Danio rerio: one gene and its partners. The protein of the gene in region 3 purifies or fractionates together with the protein of the main gene of each other region. This does not show direct contact. Links are inferred from orthologs where the notes say so. Each region holds a gene or a part of one and is shown on either strand. Other genes may lie near its edges.

Region 1 (7,459 bases), on a different chromosome or scaffold from region 3:
GTCGAAAGCGGCCTCTGGTGGATTTACTTGAGAAGAGCAGGCACAAATTGCACCCGTGAGAGAAATTTGAGCAAAAGCATACACAGCGGCCTCTGGTGAAGTTGCGAAAACAAAAAAAAAAGTTTAAAAAAACGTTGCTGCTGGGATGTATTTGGCGCTCTCCAGAAATGTAAATAGCAGTACGTTTTAGAATGAGCCTGAAACATATCATCGCTCTTCATTTCAAATGGAAATATGAGGTAGATTTATGAGGTTCAGCTGGATGTTGTGACAGAAATTTGTCAAATATATTACTAGTTGAATGTTTAACATAATAATAGTCATGTAAAATATAGGATTTCTATTTTAAAATGTAATCTGTCTTTATTCAATCTTGCTGCTTAATATTTTTGGGAACACACTGTTCCAGTTACTATGACCATTTATGTGAAGCTGCTTTGACACAATCTACATTGTAAAAGCGCTATACAAATAAAGCTGAATTGAATTGAATTGAAAATCATGATTTTAGTTTTGTATTAAAAGTTTTGTAAAAATTCTTAATTTCCAAAGTATCACAGCTTCTATAAAAATATTAAGTTGCACATGTGTTTTTATTTTTGATTATGATACAAAAAAACAACTGTAATCATATTGTACATATTATAATAACATTTTATTGTAATTTTGGAAGGATTTTTAAACATAATTGATTTTAATAAATATTTATTTTCTTCTTTGCCATGATGACAGTACATAATATTTTGCAATAGACTAGTTTTCAGCTTAAAGTGACATTTAAAGGCTTAACTAGGTTAATTAGGCAAGCCATTGGTCAGCAGTGCTATGTTCCATAGCAATCAAACATAATAATGTTTCATATTTCTTAAGAGGGCTAATAATATCAACCTCAGCAGTTTTAAATTAAAACTAAAGACTAAAACTAAAAGAAATATGACTTTCTTTAAATAATGTAAAAGGAAATACCGCAAAAAGCCTGTATTGAAGGAGTAATGTGATTGCAGCTATATTATAATAATAGTATAGTACTCGCCTCACAGCAAGAAGGTCGATGGTTTAAGTCCCGGCTGGGCCAGTTGGCATTTCTGTGTGAAGTTTGCATGTTCTCCCCGTGTTGGCATGGGTTTCCTCTGGGTGCTTCGGGTTCCCCCACTGTCGAATCCAATGCATAAAGCATATGCTGTAATAGTTGGCGGTTAATTCTGCTGTGGTGACCCCTGGTAAATAAGAGACTAAGCTGAAGGAGAATGAATGAATGCTGATATAAATTGGTGAGCGTATGTGAGATTTCTCCTGAAAACATTTAAAAGCAGCTTCTGACCTACAAAATTGCTTGTTTAGTCATTTTAGTATTATTTTCTAACAGCACCCAAATGCTCACACAGAAGATCCTGCTTTTGTCTCTCCAGGTAAAGACTCGCTTCAAGAAGTTCCTCAAATCCTTGTTTCAGCGCATGTTAGAGGAGCACGGCTCTGCGTTGAGCTCTGCGCCATCGGAAGCAGATCAGCCTGTGATCGCTGGACTGGCAGACGATGGAGCACAGAACGTACCCGTCCACGCTCTGATGGTCAGTCACGGGGCGTTTATCCGCGTATCTGTGCGTCATCTGGTGGAGGATCTGCAGTGCTGTCTGCCCGCAGGTCTTAAGATGAACCAGGTGTTTTCTCCATGTCCAAACACTGGCATCAGCAGGTTCATCTTCACCATCCATAGGGAAGAGAGTGTCCTGCGGGCCACACGCATACAGGGGGTCTTTATCAACAGAAAAGACCACCTGGAGGAAGTCAAAAACTCTGACTGACAGGGCTCACTAAGACTGCTTGATTTGACAGTTTGTATTGCAAACCCAGCAACTGAAGCACATTACAAGTCTGTGTGTTTGATTTTATCATGAGTATTATTTAAATGCAGTTTTGTGAGCTGGCTGAACGTAAACACTCATAAGATGTCTTTTTTGATGTCGTCCATTATTTAAGCACTTTAAAGTTGCACCACCGCAGTTTTGGCCTCTATATTCACACGTAATGTGTACACGTATTCGTTTTCATGCAATAAAAGAAATGCTGAAACTTGAAATCAAGGAAGTTTGATTTGTTTTTGGATTTGTAAGTTAGTAGTAAGTATTTTCCCTTGGAAATGTATACTTTGTGTGCAGAGAAAATATTTGAATGTATTGAAAAGTGTATTGAAATGAATCAAAGTATGCTTGAAATAAAAAAAAAATGGACAGTCAAGTCAGGGAAATGGCGTAGCATATTTCTCACAGTTAAATTAATCATTTTAATTTCTTCTTTTGTTAATTATTGTTTTTAAAAGTGAAGCTAAAGCAGTGATTTTAATGTGAGCTTACAATCACTTAAGATAAACAACAGCATTGTTCATAGACTACTAGCACTTTTAAAAGCAAAAACTATTCATGTATAATTTAGTTATTTTGCTTCTTTACTATATTTATCTAGATTTAAGAATGTTCAGTGTTTACCAATGTGTTTACATGTCTGTGATATAAAATTATATTAGCCTAAAGTAGGCCTAATTGAAACAAAAAAACAAAATATTGAATCAAAAGTCCTTACCTTGGCCATTAAATTGATGTTCTGCTGTTGTTCACCATAATATTAGCGTAGCAATTCTCTCCGACTCGCTCAGAAATTGAAGGTTAAAAACAATACGTCATAAAAAACAACATGTGACGTAAATACACACTTCGTTTGCTGAAAAAGTAATCACGTCAGCGGTCGGAGTGCGTGAACGCGCATGGCAAATTAACGGTCGATGAGTTCAGAATTTTCGCTAATAATACATCAAATTGCGTTTTATTTTTTACCATATACGCTCAGAACACTTGAAATTAATGGATTGTGTCGTGTATGACCATCCTTTAAAACGTTTTATCAAAACTATAGTCATGGACGAGAGCGAGCACGACGTTTTAACTGAATTTTCAAACATGTAACGTTAACTTAGCCTAGATAGTGTGCTTTGTCTGCTGTTTTTTTTCCACAGAGTACAGAAGGACATGACTTGTCTTGAAAAACACCAAGGTAAGTTAAATAATGTCTGCGTTTTATATTTTTTGGTTGACGTTCATTCATTCTTTCATTCAAACTTTATTTATAAAGCACTTAACCACCAAAGTGCAGTAACGTTACAGTCTAACGAGTTAACGAGTCAGATATACGTACACACTATGCACACTATTTAAAACAAACATAAAATCAAGTGCCAAAGGTTAAGGGAAAAGATTTTGAGAGGTTTTGAGATGGGATATGAACAAAGACAACGTTTTTGATGTTATTATTATTGAATATAAGAATAATAACATCACTGCATTGAAGAAAAAAATAATAACAAAAAAACAAACAAACAGAAAACAATACAAACTTTACAAAGCCTCAATTTTTAAGAAAAAAAAGATTATCATAAGCTTTAGGAAACTTATTTTTCTTATTATTAATAATAAGAGATTCAGTTTCTGCAAGTAAAAGTATTAAATCTAGGGACTGCCTTTAGAAACTTATTTTTGTGTGAAAAATATTAAGAGTGGAACAAATAATAATAACAAGAAGATGGAGAGCATGATCATTGCCTGAGAGATACAGAAATATATCTTTTATAGACAAATTTAAATCATATTTAAATAAGGACGATAAATAAAAAATCTTATTCCAAAGACGTGAGTGATTGAGTGCAACTATAGAATAAGTGAAATAAAGTCTCTTCATGTTTATTACAGAAAGTACACAAATTAGATAGTTCAAAATAAATAGCAATTTGGGAATTTGTAGGATATACATATGAAAATCTTAAAATGTATCTCTCTTTGTTGGACATGCTGAATTTTTTAGGTAATAACCATGCTCTCTTCCATTGAATGCTGTCAGAGGAATTGGCCCAGAAATATGTACATCTTTGGGAGGTATAGAGTAATGTAACAATCGTCTGACATGTCGGTTGTCACATTTTTTTTAATCAAAAAAAGAATCTCCATCCAAAAAAAAAAAGTTTAGGTGTAATTGTTTTCCCCTCATTGAAGTAAAGAAACATTTGAAATAAATTCACATAACTTGACATGGCGGCGCAGTAGGTAGTGCTGTCGCCTCACAGCCAAGAAGGTCGCTGGTTCGAGCCTCGGCTGGGTCAGTTGGCATTTCTGTGTGGAGTTTGCATGTTTTCCCTGCGTTCGCATATTCCTCCGGGTGCTCCGGTATCACCCACAGTCCAAAGGCGTGGTACAGGTGAATTGGGTGAGCTAAATTGTCAGTAGTGTATGAGTGTGAATGATTGTGTGTGATTGTTTTCCAGAGATGGGTTGCAGCTGGAAGGGTATTTGCTGCGTAAAGACCATAGACTGTAAAATATAGGTAAAGACGTGCTGGATAAGTTGGCGGTTCATTCCGCTGTGGGGACCCCGGATTAATAAAGACAATAAGCCGAAAATAAAATAAATGTGTGAATGAACTTGGTGACAAAACTATATATAACACAATTGAAGGTTGTGGCTGGCAGACGGAAATTATACCATAAACTCATAAACTCCTCATATTCCAGAATATTGCCATAATTTTTTTAATTAGTCCAAAACAAAAACAAACCACCTATCAATAAAAAGAGATTTCTCATGAATTAAGACTTTAAAGTTATTCCTAAGTATTTCTTTGTGTGGGGAAAATAAACAAAGACAACGAAGGAGCCAGTCTAATGGAAAGTGACGTAATGCATATTAGGGTATACTATTTTCAATTTCATATTTTATTGGATTATATCGATTATGCGATGGTATGTATGTGTAAACCTATTAGTGATCAGAAGGTAAAATATCAAATGTCCATCATAAAAATGGGCATTTGAAGATTGTATTTATATTGATCGTCAGATCCTATGATTTTAGGCTAATTGAATTGTGTCTCCTCATCCAATAGATGGCGCTGTGCTACTGACCTCTGGAGGACAGATGTGCCAACCTGCTGATGGGTAGGAGAATGGGACACGTCTTCTCTGCCGCCCACTCCAACAGGAAACATTCACCATCTTTGGTCCCTCATTTTCTCCGGCGAGGGAAACTTAGTGATCTTCTAAGGCTTGTCATTTTCCTGCCGGTAAGTGGGCGGCAATTTGGTTGAGTTGGTCACGCAGGGGACCTGGACGACTCAAAAGCACTGACTGACGTCCTGCAATCCAAGCAGACGATAGACTAGTTTGTGGCCACACATTCTTCAACTCCTCCAGACGATCCTAAAATATCTGCTCAGACAAATCACATTTCTTACATGCACATGTGTTCATGCTGAAGCTGCCAATGTGCTCATCATCAAAGCTCTGCAGCAGCAGCTTCAGGTATGTTATTGTCCAATATGTTTGTACACTCAAACAGCTGCTGTGTCCATAGACAGGAAAAGGCCACTTCTATATAAAACCCTGCAGTTTTATTTAGTTTCCACAGTTTAGACACCCAAACAAAGCCACGTGCCCACAATGTTTTGTTCTGCTGCAGTTCCACTTAACTGTTTGGTTTGTTTTTCCCAGCGGGTCAGTCTGATCCTCCAAACCCAACAATCAAACTAGACAAGTGTAGACTTGATAAGACCACCAAACAATATTACACTTTTTTTTTCGTTCATGTCGGGAAACCTGTTTTTAATTATCATTTTTACTTGAAATCGTATCAGTGATGCCATACTTTTTAAAGAGTTTGATCAAGGGAAAACAAAAAACTTCAAAATGATTCGAAAAGATTCAATTGTTCTGAAAAATGGTCACAAATGGGTTGTTCAAGGTAAAAAAAATAGCAATTTGGAAATAGGGCGGCACGGTGGCTCAGTGTATAATAATTAATATGAATTTTATCATTTAAAAAATATTTTGCAATAATATTCTAAATTAAGGGGCAAGCAAGAGAGTCCTCAAAGCAAGCAAGTCCCCGTTGGGTCAGTTGACATTTCTGTGTGGAGTTTGCATGTTCTCCACATGTTCGCGTGGGTTTCCTCTGAGTGCTCCGATTTCCCCCACAGCCCAAAGACATGCACTATAGGTCAATTGAATGAACTAATTGGCTGTAGTGTGTGTGAACGAATGAATGGGTGTTTTCCAGTGCTGGGTTACAACTGGAAGGGCATCCACTGCGCAAAACATATGCTGGGATAGTTGGCGGTTCATTCCGCTGTGTTGAAATCGAGACTAAGCTGAAGGACAATAAATAAATTTCAGTTTTTGAGATTTTACCCTCTAATTTGAAACGCAACTTGCTTTAATTAAAAAAATTACATTTTTGCACTTCAGTGGATAATCTGCATAAAAATAGTGTCTTCTTTAAATAAAGTATGAGCTCCAGAGCAATTCGGATTTAAAACAGTAAACGTTGCGCTCGAAATGTATCCTATTACAATTTGAATTTTTTAAAATTATTATCTTAATAGGTGTTTCTTTTATTCCAGTGTCAATCAGACTGTTGAACACTGATAGATAGTGTATGTAATTCTTTTGCATGTTGACTTAATTTTAATTGTTATTGTGTAAGAACTTGCTGAAGCGCTGTGTGAGTCCACAGAAAATTTCTCATTTAGGGACAATAAAGTATACAAACAAACAAACAAACAAACAAAATATATACATACACACACATTTATTATGTAAAATAGTTCTATTTAAAGTTATTTGCATTCCAAAAACTACTACAAAAATGATTTTTGCACCATACTTAACGCAGTCTTATAATAATTATAATAATTAATAAAATTTGTATTATTTAAAAAACATTTTGCAATAATATTTCAAATTGAGGGGCAAGCAAACGAGTCCTCAAAGCAAGCGAGTCCCAGTTGGACGAGTTGGCATTTCTGTGTGGAGTTTGCATGTGCTCCACATGTTCGCATGGGCTTTCTCTGGGTGCTCCGATTTCCTCCACAGCCTAAAGACATGCGCTATAGGGGAATTAAATAAACTAAATTGGCCGTAGTGTATGAGTATGTATAAATGCCAGAGTGTATGGGCATCCGCTGCATAAAACATATGCAGCAATAGTTGGTGGTTCATTCCACTGTGGTGACCTCAGAATTAGCTGAAAGAAAATTGATCATTTAATCATTAATCATTTAATAATCAATAATTAATCATTAATCATCACTTGCATAAATGAGATCATCACTGGCTCCACATGATGACAAGTTTCACTGAATCGCTTCAATAAATATGGCTGAGTTATAATTGCCCTCTAGCTAATAATCCAATGTTTGTGGATAAAACTCCTCCATTATCACCTCTGAAAGCAGTTTGTAGTTTTTAATTTGTGCTATTAATGCTGCATAGTCCATAGTGAAAGTCAAGTCCCGGAGGAGCGTAATTTGATGACACAGCGACCTGTGAGATGAACAGATCAATACCTTACGCTTAAGCACCTACATTAATCACACTGAAAGACTAGCGGAGCGTAAAGAAAGCACATCATCCTACTGCTAATTA
Region 2 (6,060 bases), on a different chromosome or scaffold from region 3:
CAAGCCTCGCAGTCAGAGGGGTTTTGCCGACCCCAGGATTCTGGCTGGACCAGTGCAGAGATCAAGAGCGGGATGACTGATGATATTCGGTTAGAGTCTGTCAAGCAGGCCAATAGTGTTAGTGTTGAAGAAGTGCATGCTGTTTTGGAGCATTTGAGTTTTAAGAAGTGCAAGGCTGTAGTGTCTGATGCCTGGGACAGAGTGCAGCAGCTGGAGGCCGAGATCAGAGGAAAAGCTGAGGAGGAGCTCACACTCTCCGTGGCTCCACACAGACAGAGCTTCAGCCTCACACAGACTACACCTTGTGAACCAAGGTAGGAATGAGATTTTTTTTTTTGGGTTAATTTCATTTATATATATCTTTTCATCATGGAAAAAATAATGGATTAGCAAAGCAGTGTTCCTCGGAATGAATGAGTTACCCGTTATATGTTGCCCACCCGTTATATGTTGCACAACTAGTGGCTGATTTAGTTAGGATTATTAGGCTATATCATTGAAGAAATAATTTCATATTGAAGCAACTAAAAAAGTCTGTAAACTCTCAAAAAGAGACAAGCAAGAAAAATTTCTTGAAAAATAGGCAATTGTTTCGGTTACCTTGACCATTGTCAATGCCAAGATATCCATGTTAGGACAGGAAGCCATCTTAACTGAAAAAAAATCTGCGCACACTCAAAAATCAGAAAGACACAAGCGAGATGAAGTGACAAGCAATTGTACACACCTATTGGATTGTTTTTAAGGAGCGCTGAGTCTTAAGTTGCCTTTATCAGAATATCCACTGGGTCTTAAAAAGTCTTAAAACATCTTAAATCTCAAAAGCCAAATGTTAGGCCCTAAAAAGTCATAAATCTACTGAAAGGTTGTGTTGTAGATCTTAAATCTTTTTTAATTTTCTTATTTTTCCTTTGCTCATCTATAGCTACCTAATCTGGCCATTAACACCCACACAATCACCAACAATCCATCTCAATAAAACTTTTTATTTAAAACTACTTTTCTTACAGTAACGTTTTCTTAAAAGTTCTACATTTATTTACTGTTGAGGATACTGACCCTATATTTTTTATTCTTAGTATTCTAGACTGAAGTAATTGACAGCTATGTTTTGTTCTGTTCTTGCTAAGGGTTATAGGGTTGTGAAGGGATTTATTTGAAAATTAATACAAATATTAAAACTATTAATATTATTATTATTATTGTATTATTAAATGTATTAAATTGTAATCATTGTTTGATAAGGCAAGTGAAAATCTATTTGAAAATAGCTCTTTGTAATTAAAACATTTCCTTCATAACGGTCTTAAAATGTCTTTAAAAAGTCTTAAATTGAACTTGGTGAAACCTGCAGTAACACTGATAGCTGTATATTTCCAAAATAATATAATAAATAAAAAAATCATTAAAACTTCAAACATGAAACATAAAGATCAAGCTTGTGAATTTATGCATGCATTTTCTTAAGTTAGTAAAACTGAAAAGTTAGTGTTTAATAAATTGTTAAACATTTTGTTAAAAACTTTTTTTAGTATGCATTTTCTCATTAATTGCAAAACAATTTAATAAGAGTTAAAAATTAAATAGAAAAATCATTGCATCTGCTGACTATTACATTACTCTGATCTCTCATTTTCATTTACCGTTCGATTAAAAGGTAATCCTGTTTGTGTTGTTGTGTAAAGAGTGATGGAGAGGAGAAGTGAGGTGCTGAAGTCAGTCCTCTCCACCAGGTCTTCTGGAACACTGGGCAGCCGAGCAGCAGTGGCTCTGGATTACCTGCCCTGTCTGCGCACCATCTGCAGATCAGAAAGACTGAAGGAGCAGGGAAAGATCAAACGCAGGTCACTTAACCACACTTATATTTTTACTTTCATTTTCAGTATTACAAAGGTTTATTTTCTTATTGCTGATGTATTATATCAGGCATATTGTATAATTAATTATAACTGCTTTCACTCAATTTCTATGTGGGGCACAAGAGAGTAGTCTGGAGAATGCTTCTTCCGATATTAAAAGGATCAGACCAGAAATAAATATTCTTTTATTAATTACCCATGGGCTTCTAAACCCATAAGGCTTTTATTCCTCATTAAAACACAAATTAATCTATTTATCATGCATTCTGATAGGTTTGTCCATCCAAGCATTGACCGCTTACGCAACTACTACTTTCAAGGCCATAAATGCATGAAAAACATGACTGGCTTCAGGGATTTATTTATTTTATGAGATCATATGAATGCATTTTGTGAGGAAAACAGCCTCCTAAACTATTATTATTAAACCTCAGTTCAGTTTCTATCACTAGAGAACTATAAATAATACAAAAAGTGCTGTGGGCTTTGTGTTTAAACCGCATTGCACATCAATGTCATTTTAAGCCAACTGGCCAATCACAGTGGAGAAGGGGCGACACAAAGACCACACAAACTAACTGTCAATACTGTACATCAGGATATTTTTAGGAATGTGTAGGCTTATTTGACATCAGAAATTAAGCATTAGCATTATATGTAATCATTAAATGTTATACCAATATTATATGCCAATTCTTAATTGTTTATAGACATAAATGTTTCTAGTTTATGACTGTTGTCTCACATTAATGATATCAGATGATGAATCGATAACTCTGGCAGAGGCAGACCTAAATAATTTAAAACAGGACATTTTTGTCACCGCTGGGGGTCTCTAATGCATGTCACACCCTTGTTTATGCACAGTGGCTCTGTTCTTTGTTTCCCTCCCAAAGTGAGATCACTTCCACTTATTCAGAGGGAAACACCCTTGGGCACATTTCACAAGTAAAGATTGCACTCTAAATTTACAGTGGGCAAACTAAAAAATATAAAAATAACAGCTTTAAAATAAACTAAAAATGACAAATAACAAAAAATAAAGGTTAAGTGCTTTATGCAAATATTTACAACCTATAAATAAATGTGTTAACTGATGCAGTTTTGTTTTTTTTATTTGGCCTGGGTGTATCGAAAACGGCGACACTTCAATTTGGTCAGAGTGCAAAGGTCTGTAAAAATGAAACGGCAAAGGGACAGGATGTGGTTTTAGCAAGCTTATATATGACACGAGAGATCGCAAATTGACAGACGAGGTTTTGTTTCACTTCTTCATATTTATATTTGTGTCAGTGTAAGCCTTTTACATTTTGTCAGCATTTGTTTTGTGGACGTTTCAAATGGTCCCATTCTTCACGTTGCATAAAAAAATTCACTTATTGCATAAAATGATCAATTATTTATGTTCTTTTTTTGCAGGTTCTTGCACTATTTGGATGGTATACACTTCACTCTTCCTAAAAGCACCGTGGAGTTCCTGGCATCCGATTTCCCTTAAATGACATGCATCTTCAGGCAGCCGGTCGAGGGCTGCTGTGAATATGCATTTGTACAGTAATATATACTCAGAAGGAGTGTGCTTTTATGTTGTTGTGTGGATAGCATGGATTTTGTACGGTTTTAAATTTGCCGTTGCTCATTATGAAGATCATTTATGTTTTGTAATTTGTCATGCATTTTTCAAAAGGTTTTATCAAGTAATAAATTTGGATTTGCTATTTGCCAGCAAACATGTTTTCCTCAAAATATGTATGTAAATTGTATAAGATCTTTAAACATGATGGTGCTACTGGAATTTGTGTGCAGGTTGTGTATGATTTATTTTCCTCTAACATATACATTTCAGCACATTCAGTGTGAGTGAAGGCCTTACCTTGCTCATTTTTCAAACTCTCACCTCCACCTCTCCAAAATGGGATGGTTTTATAGTCTACTTGAATTCTAGAAGATAACTATACCTGTTAAAGCAGTACATGCATGTTTTGTATGTGGTTTTAGTATGCAACTATGTACTTAAGATTAGATTATAAGTAATATCACTTAATTATTAATCTAGATGACAATATCATTTTCATTGGCTTTGTCTTGTATACTACCTCTGCTGAAAAAAAAAACTAGCTTAAACCAGCCTAGGCTGGTTGGCTAGTTTAAGCTGGTTTTAGATGGGTTTTGGCAATTTCCAGACTGGTTTCAACCATTTTCAGCCTGGTCTTAGCTGGTCAGGCTGGTGGATAACCAGCTAAAACCAGCTTGATAAGTCAAGCTAGCCATTGAGCCCAGCCTAAACCACCTATGTCCAGCTTAAACCAGGCTTTTCAAGCTGGTTTCAGCTGATAATTTCCCAGCCTGACCAGCTAAGACAAGGCTGAAAATTAGCCCGGAAATGGCTAAAACCCCTCCAAAACCAGGCTGATCAACCAGACTAGGCAACCCAGCAGAATTTTTTTTGTTTTTAAAAGATGTCTAATAGATGTCTAAACATAGTCATTTTGGCTTAAACAAGACTTAACTTGGGCTGTCAGTGAAAATCCAATATACATCTAAAAATAGGCCAAAACAATCATATAAACAGAAATGAATGACTACACATATAAAGTCTGTCTATTTGACTACAAGTCTAGTTTTGGGTTATTTTTAGATGTCTATTAGATTTTCACTGACAGCCCAATTTAGCCTTGTTTTATAGCCAAGCTGTCTACGTTTAGATGTCTGTTTGACATCTATTAAACACTAAAATTGTTTGCTGTGTAGTTAGGAAGTAAACTTAAGTTATACTGTAGTCAGGACACTGTATAAATGGTTTAAACCTTTAATTAGACGTTACTGGTGTTATGAGCGGTCAATCACTGTGTACAATTCGCTATCATTAGCAACCAGTCCTCATTTATAACGTCATATTACCATACGGTGTCAATGCTGTTATTAAAATAGCATGTATTTCAGCAGCAGCTCAGTGTTTGTTGTTTTCTCCAGGAAGTGAACACGAAGGGATTTTTTTGGCCCATTGAATGCTTGCGGAAGACCTCGCTGAAGCCGCTGCACCACAACATTAGAGGCGCATTTGACTGTCGATTCTGACGCGACAGGAGTGTTTTAGCGACCGAGTGACTGAAGTAAACCGCGAAACCGCACCCTCCACACGTCAAAGTCACAGGCAAGAGAGAAGAAACTAATAACGTTACCTTTATGTTTTTAAAAGCAAATCGCCTATGGCAAATCGGGAAAAGAACAAAAAGATACTTCTAGAATTGGTGAAGCTACCAGAGAATAACTGCTGTGCTGACTGTGGAGCTGCAGGTGAGTACAGTTAACGGCTATTGTTTCTCCATTGCTGTAAACTGCATTCACTCACAGTCTATTGGAAGTGTACAGAATTGTCAGAATGTTCTCTGATATTGTTCATTAACATCTCGATTATTAAAGTTGAAATCTAAAATATTGTAGGGGTTAACAGTAGACAGCTTGTCATAGTCATGGTTTCACAAAAGTGCCTCAATGGATGATATTCGTCTAGTGCGCTTTAGTGGCTTCAATAAAAACAAACTCGAACTTGTTTTACATTTGCATTTAGTTAAAATTAGATTTTTAACCCAAAAGCTTTCATTGAAATTTTCATTATTGTAAGTCATTCATTGTTTCACCTTTCAAAAACAACTGAAATCGCACTTAAATATTCTAGCCTATAATATAATAAGAATATACAGTTTTAATTTATTTCTATATGACCTTTCATAAAAAAAATCGCAGTTTTACACTTATTTTGTATTACTTGTTTTTCTTGTACAAAAATAAACTCATCCTACATGATGTTTCTCAATTACAGCTGACTGAATTGGGTCACTTTAGTTTTTAGAGGTATATTTTTAAGCTAATTAGCACATCACTAATACACAATTTTATATTTATATAAATATATATGTATATGGTTATATATATACACTACACGTTAAGATATAGATATGATTGTTTACTTGTTAAGTAATTGTAACAATGAATGGAAGTAAACCTTGAAGCATACGCTACACCTTAAAGGTTTAAGAATGTATCCCCATACTTGGTGAATAGGGGGGATTCAGTGATTTTGGGGCCCGCAATCCCAGTCATGGGGCCAAAGTCCTGAAATACACTCTTTCTACTTTTATTTAGTTTTTATTTATATTGCTGATTTTTTTTCTATCACTCAGCCATCATTTCGACATTT
Region 3 (6,733 bases):
CCTTAATTATGCAGACTTAATATAACTCAATATAAATGAAACGATGATGAGTTATAAAAAAAAATTCACCCCCCTCACAGTTGTCATGAAGGGTAGTATTAGCTGTATACACCAAACCGTTTTTTGTATCAGGCTGTAAACACCCTTTTTTCTGCTGTAAACTTGGTTATTTTAACAGTGGGGTCAATAGAAATGTGCTCTAAAGCAGAATTTTGATGAATTTCTGTTTCTGTTACATTCATATTAGCTTCACTAGGGAGAGTGGGATGTTGCCGCTTGGTTTCAAGTTGGTGCAACTGGGGAAACCACTGTAGCTCGTGTTTTCTGTAATAAAATGATTTGTGCTTCACACTGTTTGGTTGTCATGTTTGTTGGAAATCAGGATTGACAGGATTTAGCTTTTGTATTTCAGCATCACGAAAAAACATTTGACAAAATAGTAATATTTTTTAATAGCTAAACTCACTTGAGTTTTGCATTGGGTTTACATTGAATGCATTGTTAAATGTTTCATTTAAATATCTTACCTAATGAAAGAAATACTTTTGTTATGCATTTGAATATTTCAAGGCACATCTAACATTACTTTCCATGTACCAAAATACATATATAATTACATAGATGAAAAAAATATCGCTATTATGCAGCTAAACAGTATGATTATTTTAATGTGTTAGCTTTTTTGTTTGTATGCTTGTTTTTTAATGATTATTTATATTTTTCATATTCAGTGAATCTTGGTGGGCTGCTCTTGCAGGCCTTGTTGGAGTTTTGGCCCAGAACTCATATAAACCCAATGGAAGAGGAGGAAAATGAGCTCAACCATGGTAGACATATTCACTTTTATAATGGCTTTTATTTTAAACCCTAGACTATATATTGAATCAATAATCAACATGTGCAGCTGTTCAGAATTTAAGTTTCAATAGCAATACGTTTTTTATTAGTTTTTTCTATCAATACATTTTAGTTATGCATATGTCATATTTGATGAAACTATGCTAAATCCACTGAATTCTACAAAGGATGCATATTTATTCTTGTACTCTAGTTGTGCAGTGTATTGTCTCCAGTCTAATTATTTCTGAAATTCAGATGTCTTTTTTTAAACACTACCTCTATACAGTACAGTGGTTTCTGACTAATCATCTTCTGTGTGTTTTTGTCTGCAGTAAACGGTGAACAGGAGAGTCGAATTCAAAAGGGCAATGGCTACTTCCAGGTTCCACCACACACTCCTGTGATCTTTGGTGAAGCAGGAGGGCGAACATTATTTAGGTCAGAATAACTATGATATAGTGACTATGACTTTTCAACTTGGTTGGATGGATAGATAGATAGATAGATAGATAGATAGATAGATAGATAGATAGATAGATAGATAGATAGATAGATAGATAGATAGATAGATAGATAGATAGATAGATAGATAGATAGATAGATAGATAGATAGATAGATAGATAGATAGATAGATAGATAAGACTAAGACTAAGACTACAGATAGATAAGACTATAATTTGATTTAATTTTTAAAATAATTGGACTTTTCTTTCACAGAACTTGTCTTTTTACAATCCGTTTTCACTGCAATTTTAGGTTATTATGCCGTGATTCTGGAGGAGAGACGGAGTCTATGTTACTGAATGAAACCGTACCTCAGTGGGTTATCGATATCACTGTAGATGTGAGTGTTTCAAATTTCACAATCAACTCAATAATTTGTTTTTGATTGCATGTTAAAGATTGCATATTATTTACTTTACATGTGTTTTTAAACCTTTGTGAGTTTATTTCTTTTGCACAAAAAAGAAGATAGTTTGAAGTATGCTGGTTGCTGGCACACATCAACTTTTTTGATGGTAAAAAATGACTATGTGTGCCATCTACCGGCATTTTTACCAGCAATATCATCTTCTGTGTTTGGCAGAGAAAAGAAACTCAAATAGGTTTTCAACAAGGGAAGGGTAAATGACTAAATGATTAATGAATGTGTTTTTTTATTTTTGGATGAACTATCCTAACAATGTTTCCTCCTTTCAGAAAAACATGCCAAAATTCAACAAGATCCCATTCTACCTCCAACCTCATTCATCATCTGGGGCCAAAACGCTCAAAAAGTAGGTTGTGTTTGGAAAAGGTGTTGAAATTAAAAGCACTAAGGATTATTCTACTTTTGTTTTTAAAGCTGCAGTATGTAAGTTTGACACCCAGTGACTGAACTAGGTATTACATTCTTGGATCAAAACAAAAACAAGTGCCAGGTTGCCAGATTGACCAACTGGAACGAGTCTGACAATCGAGCCTAAAGGCTGATTCAAGTCTTGTTCTAAATAAAAGCAACAGCATGCGATAGAAGTAATACTCTCCATATTAAAAGGAGTTTTTGTTCTAACCAACACCTGAAATTTTTATTTTAGAAACGGCTTAAATTACTTAAAGCTGAACTACAGAAGGCTGACAATGATGATGATTCAGCATGTACGTTTAATAATGTTAAAGAGGTTTAGTATGTATTAATTACATTATAAACCTTACCATTTCATTAGCGAGTGCATATTCAGTGTTTCTGAATGACTGTATTTAAATTTCTGTCGTGTTTTGTCTGGTGCAATCAGCCAAATTGCTTATCACTGCAAATCTCGTCACGTAACGTGTTTTGACACAGGGTTACAATGTAACCTGCTCACCTAATGTTTACTCTCGTAATATTATTTTCTAATTAATAACCTCTTGTGGAACTCTGAATCTGCATCTCATTTCGGAGTCTGCTACTGTCCACCGGAGATCGCATTTTGGTCACGGATGCATGCTTTCAGAGTCTTTTTGAATGAAATATGCTGTTTTCCACCAATGCAACCGGTGATGCTGAAATATAATTGGTTAAACTGGCATTGGGCGAGTTAAAAGAACCAAAAAAAAGACAGCCGTTCCGGCACATAACGCACGTTTTCAAAGCAGAATATCTGACTTCAGCATTGTTTTTCAGATAAACAAGAATGTTCACTTAGCATGTTTCTTAAATATCTGCAAACATATTATGGTATTTTTATACTTTAGAGGAGAAAAACTTGCATACAGCACCTTTAGTTAAACACTATTTAGACATACTATGAGTCTATTTTGAAGTGTGTTTAGGTGTTCTTGTGCGTGTTGGAAATCCTTGAATTGGATTCTGCTGTTTTTAAGGTTTGAAAAGTCTTTAGCTTTTGGATAAAGTGCTTGAAACTACTTGAAAATATAGTTATTCTGCTTTCATAATAATTAGTTCTTAAATAGGTAAATAATAATGAGTTAAATAAAATAAATATTTTTTAAGTCTGTGCGTATGCACATTTACAATGTGAGTTAATTACACTTCAGAGAGTAAATGACTAGGGGTGTAACGGTTCGCAAAAACCACTGTTCTGTTCGATACAACACAGTGGTGTCACGGTTCGGTATGTTTTCGATACAGCAAAAAAAGAAAAAAGCCTGAGGATTTCTCTGATTTTAATTTACTGGCCCTATTATTAGTTAACAATAATAACTGTACTGTGTTCTCACGGGTGGTGTCTGATATTGCACAGATGATATTGACATATAACTTATTATTTGCGTGCATTATCTTAATAGCAGTAACGGTCTTTTCATGAGCTGCAATATTAGTTTCATCTCAGTGAATGCATGCTCTTTAGCGATGGTGAACACGGTGTCAGTCGCACGATTGACAGCATCGTGATGATTAATTATGTTAGAACATCTCGTGCTTAATGTGTAGATTCAGTGGCAAACACTGTTACCTGAAAACTCTGTCCCACCGGCTTTACGGTGAATGCTTTAGTCATTTTCATAGCAGACTTTAAACACTGGAAGTCTTTTATCCACTCTTCAAAAAGTGTAAATGCTGGATTGACATTCATTACATTTGTTCCTTTGGTGGTTTCTATAACTAAATCTGTCAGTGTTATTTTCATTCTCTCGTATCCAGACCTTTACGTTTTTGCGGCTGTAGCTTCCTGTCATTGGAACTCAGCCATTGACAGCGATATTAACCAATCCATTCGCTTTCTGTTCTAGCGCAGTGGGCCAATAAGAAGAGCTTGAAGGTGGGGCAAGCATTGTGGGCTTAGTTTACTGCAACTTGACATGTCAACTGTTTTAAACCATTCCCGAGTGCTGCATTTGCTGTTTTTAGATGCTTAATGCGTGAATGCCTCCCAATTCCGCGCACGTGGTGAACATTTTGCTGTGAAAACTGGTCGCACGACATCAATTTTATGCACTCCCAAATATATTTTAACGTCGCATATATAAAATTTTGGGCGCATATGCAACCAAAACAATTAGTTGCAATTTCGAGCCCTGTCTCATATCCACAGCTTTAAATGTACCGAAAACAAAGTGTTCCCAAACGCCAGAACTGCTGTTGGTTATAGGAGGATTACATTAACAGTATACCCATTTTGCGAGCTAGTGCAGTGTTTGCCAAACCGAAAGTCTCGTACAGAACTGTTCAATACGAATACGTGCATCGTTACATCCTTATAAATGACAGTAATTCAATGTTGGGCTTGGAGAAAACATGCCATCACATTTTTTCTTAGAATACTGTACTGCACTATACTACTAAACTGTACTATATATAGTAAAGACTACTTCATTTAGTAAACCCTTTGGGAAGTTTGATAAACTAATTTTGAGAGGAACACATGATATTATTGATAGATAGACAGCTGGTCTCTCACCTGTAATCATCAATGAACCTATCAGATTAATCCAAGCCTACAATAAATAGACCATTTCACCTTACTTCTCTTACCTTCGTTTTGGAAAAATCCCCCCCTTCCACCCCATCTCCCCCTTTTCCTCCTCTACTAGAGGGAGTTCACTGGAACTACCTGCTCTTGGACCGCCTTAAATGCTAAATTACCATGTGGTAGCCCTGGGCTCAATTATCTCAGACCTCAGGCTTCTCTCCTGGGACAGCATGCCAAACCTGCCATTATTATCAAGCAATATCTAAGTGTGAACTCTTAAATGTACAATTGAGGAAGCATTTAGCGATTTAACAAGAAGAGGCAATACACGCAAGAATTACACAATGGATCTCTTCAGAGAATTAAGTGCTAGAGTTAGGAGGGAGTAGTGTTATTTTATTTATTTATTTATTTATTTATTTAAGAGAGAAGAGTGTTTCTGCAGGTGGTTTGTCAAGCCCACTTACCTGTGTGAAGCTCACTTCATAAATGCACAATGTTTTTCTATTTCTTTTCTTTTTTTAAATGTCGAGTGATCTTAAGAAACTATCAGGTGCAATTTTTTTCTACAGATAGTTTTTCAAGCCCACTCACCTGTGGGAGGCACACTCAGAATTTGCATAATGTTTTGAGGCTGTTGTGTGGTGTGGAAAGTGACAATAACACGTAGCATCAGATATATGTAGCATAGTATGTAAATATGTCATTTGCCACACCTGTAAAGTTCTGGAAATCATTTGAAAATGCATCTGGAAAGTGTTTGAAAAGTGCTTAGATTTGACTTGTTTAGTGTTTTTTTCCGAGATCAAGGTTTTGGAGATCCTAATCCCGCTCTGTTGTTTTCAGGGATCGCCTGTCAGCTAGCGACATGCTGCAGGTGCGCAAAGTGATGGAGCACGTTTATGAGAAGATCATCAACCTGGACACGGAGTCGCAGGCCACCAGCTCCTCAGCCAATGACAAGCCGGGTGAGCAGGAGAAAGAGGAGGACGTGTCGGTGATGGCTGAAGAGAAGATTGAGCTCATGTGTTTAGATCAGGTTAGACATGCTATCGGATTCTTTAATGCTTCTAGACACGAATAAAAGAATAAAATAATGTACTGATTATTTGCTGTTCAACACTCTATTTTCCCTCAGATGCTGAAACTAATGTAAATAAGGTGACAGTTGATGGTTTTTTAATTGCTTTGGGATTGTTTTCGAATTTCTTATCAGTGCAGTCCAGTTAAGGCTGATTTATACTTCTGCGTCAAACACCGGCGTATGCTACGGTGCTGACGCATAGCCCTTCGCTGTGGCCGTCGGCGTCGCTGACGTGCACCTCTCAAAAAATGTAACTACACGTCACAGCCTCTGTGATTGGTTGGCTTGGTAGTGCTGAAGAGTCTGGGAGGGACCGAGAGCCGCGTGAATGGTGCGAGCCTGATGGAGCGATTGTTTACAAGTGTGGAGTCCCATGAAGGAGCTCCTGATGGAAAGTTTTGTTTTGTGTTTACCTCATAGTTAAAGTTGTTGCACCTCCGCACTTGTACATACAGGAAGTGTTCAGGAAAAGCAAAACAGCAGCGAAGAAACTCGACACAGAGGAACATTTACACCTCACTGCCAACTAGCGTTTTAGAAGTGTTAATGCAGACCATCAGAGACAGCGCGCAGAAGTATAAATGCACAGCTACGCGCGTTGCATGCGCCGTGGGTTACGCCGGTCACTTGACGCAGAAGTATAAACCAGGCTTTAGTTTTGTTAAATCTGTCACATTGATTAACCCAGGGTTAAAAGTGGCTTTAATCTCAGTTAAACAGTTTTAAAATACTGTAACATAATAACTTGAGTAAATCCTTCTCTGCTTCATATGTTTGGTCGCTTTTAACCTACATTTATGAATTAATGCTCATTAATGCACTAAATTTTGTTAAAATTTCAGGGAGTTTTATGTAATCTACACTGTGTTGCTTGAATTAGTGTCATTTTTTTAAGTTGGTGAAGTTTTGTAA

Evidence for each region.
Region 1: the proteins of wdr48b (region 3) and rad51ap1 purify together in Homo sapiens (affinity purification with mass spectrometry; 5 studies listed by BioGRID and IntAct, counting the BioPlex papers as one, with this or other methods). This does not show direct contact. The link is inferred for Danio rerio from reciprocal best matches to the Homo sapiens genes WDR48 and RAD51AP1.
Region 2: the proteins of wdr48b (region 3) and atad5a purify together in Homo sapiens (affinity purification with western blotting; 3 studies listed by BioGRID). This does not show direct contact. The link is inferred for Danio rerio from reciprocal best matches to the Homo sapiens genes WDR48 and ATAD5.

The regions. Positions count from the first base shown.
Region 1 is NC_133179.1:5,638,238-5,645,696, reverse strand, and holds the start of rad51ap1 (RAD51-associated protein 1), read left to right. Parts: upstream 1-2,701; 5' UTR 2,702-3,045; exon of another isoform or gene 3,046-3,102; intron 3,103-4,923; 5' UTR 4,924-5,100; intron 5,101-5,184; 5' UTR 5,185-5,285; coding exon 5,286-5,338; intron 5,339-7,459. UniProt on the Homo sapiens protein: Structure-specific DNA-binding protein involved in DNA repair by promoting RAD51-mediated homologous recombination.
Region 2 is NC_133178.1:24,999,747-25,005,806, forward strand, and holds the end of atad5a (ATPase family AAA domain-containing protein 5), read left to right. Parts: coding exon 1-314; intron 315-1,685; coding exon 1,686-1,844; intron 1,845-3,278; coding exon 3,279-3,357; 3' UTR 3,358-3,654; downstream 3,655-6,060. Other genes in the region: adap2 (arf-GAP with dual PH domain-containing protein 2), read left to right, coding at 5,069-5,156. UniProt on the Homo sapiens protein: Has an important role in DNA replication and in maintaining genome integrity during replication stress.
Region 3 is NC_133177.1:53,192,939-53,199,671, forward strand, and holds part of wdr48b (WD repeat-containing protein 48), read left to right. Parts: intron 1-731; coding exon 732-827; intron 828-1,172; coding exon 1,173-1,278; intron 1,279-1,597; coding exon 1,598-1,685; intron 1,686-2,041; coding exon 2,042-2,118; intron 2,119-5,583; coding exon 5,584-5,776; intron 5,777-6,733. UniProt on the Homo sapiens protein: Regulator of deubiquitinating complexes, which acts as a strong activator of USP1, USP12 and USP46. Enhances the USP1-mediated deubiquitination of FANCD2; USP1 being almost inactive by itself.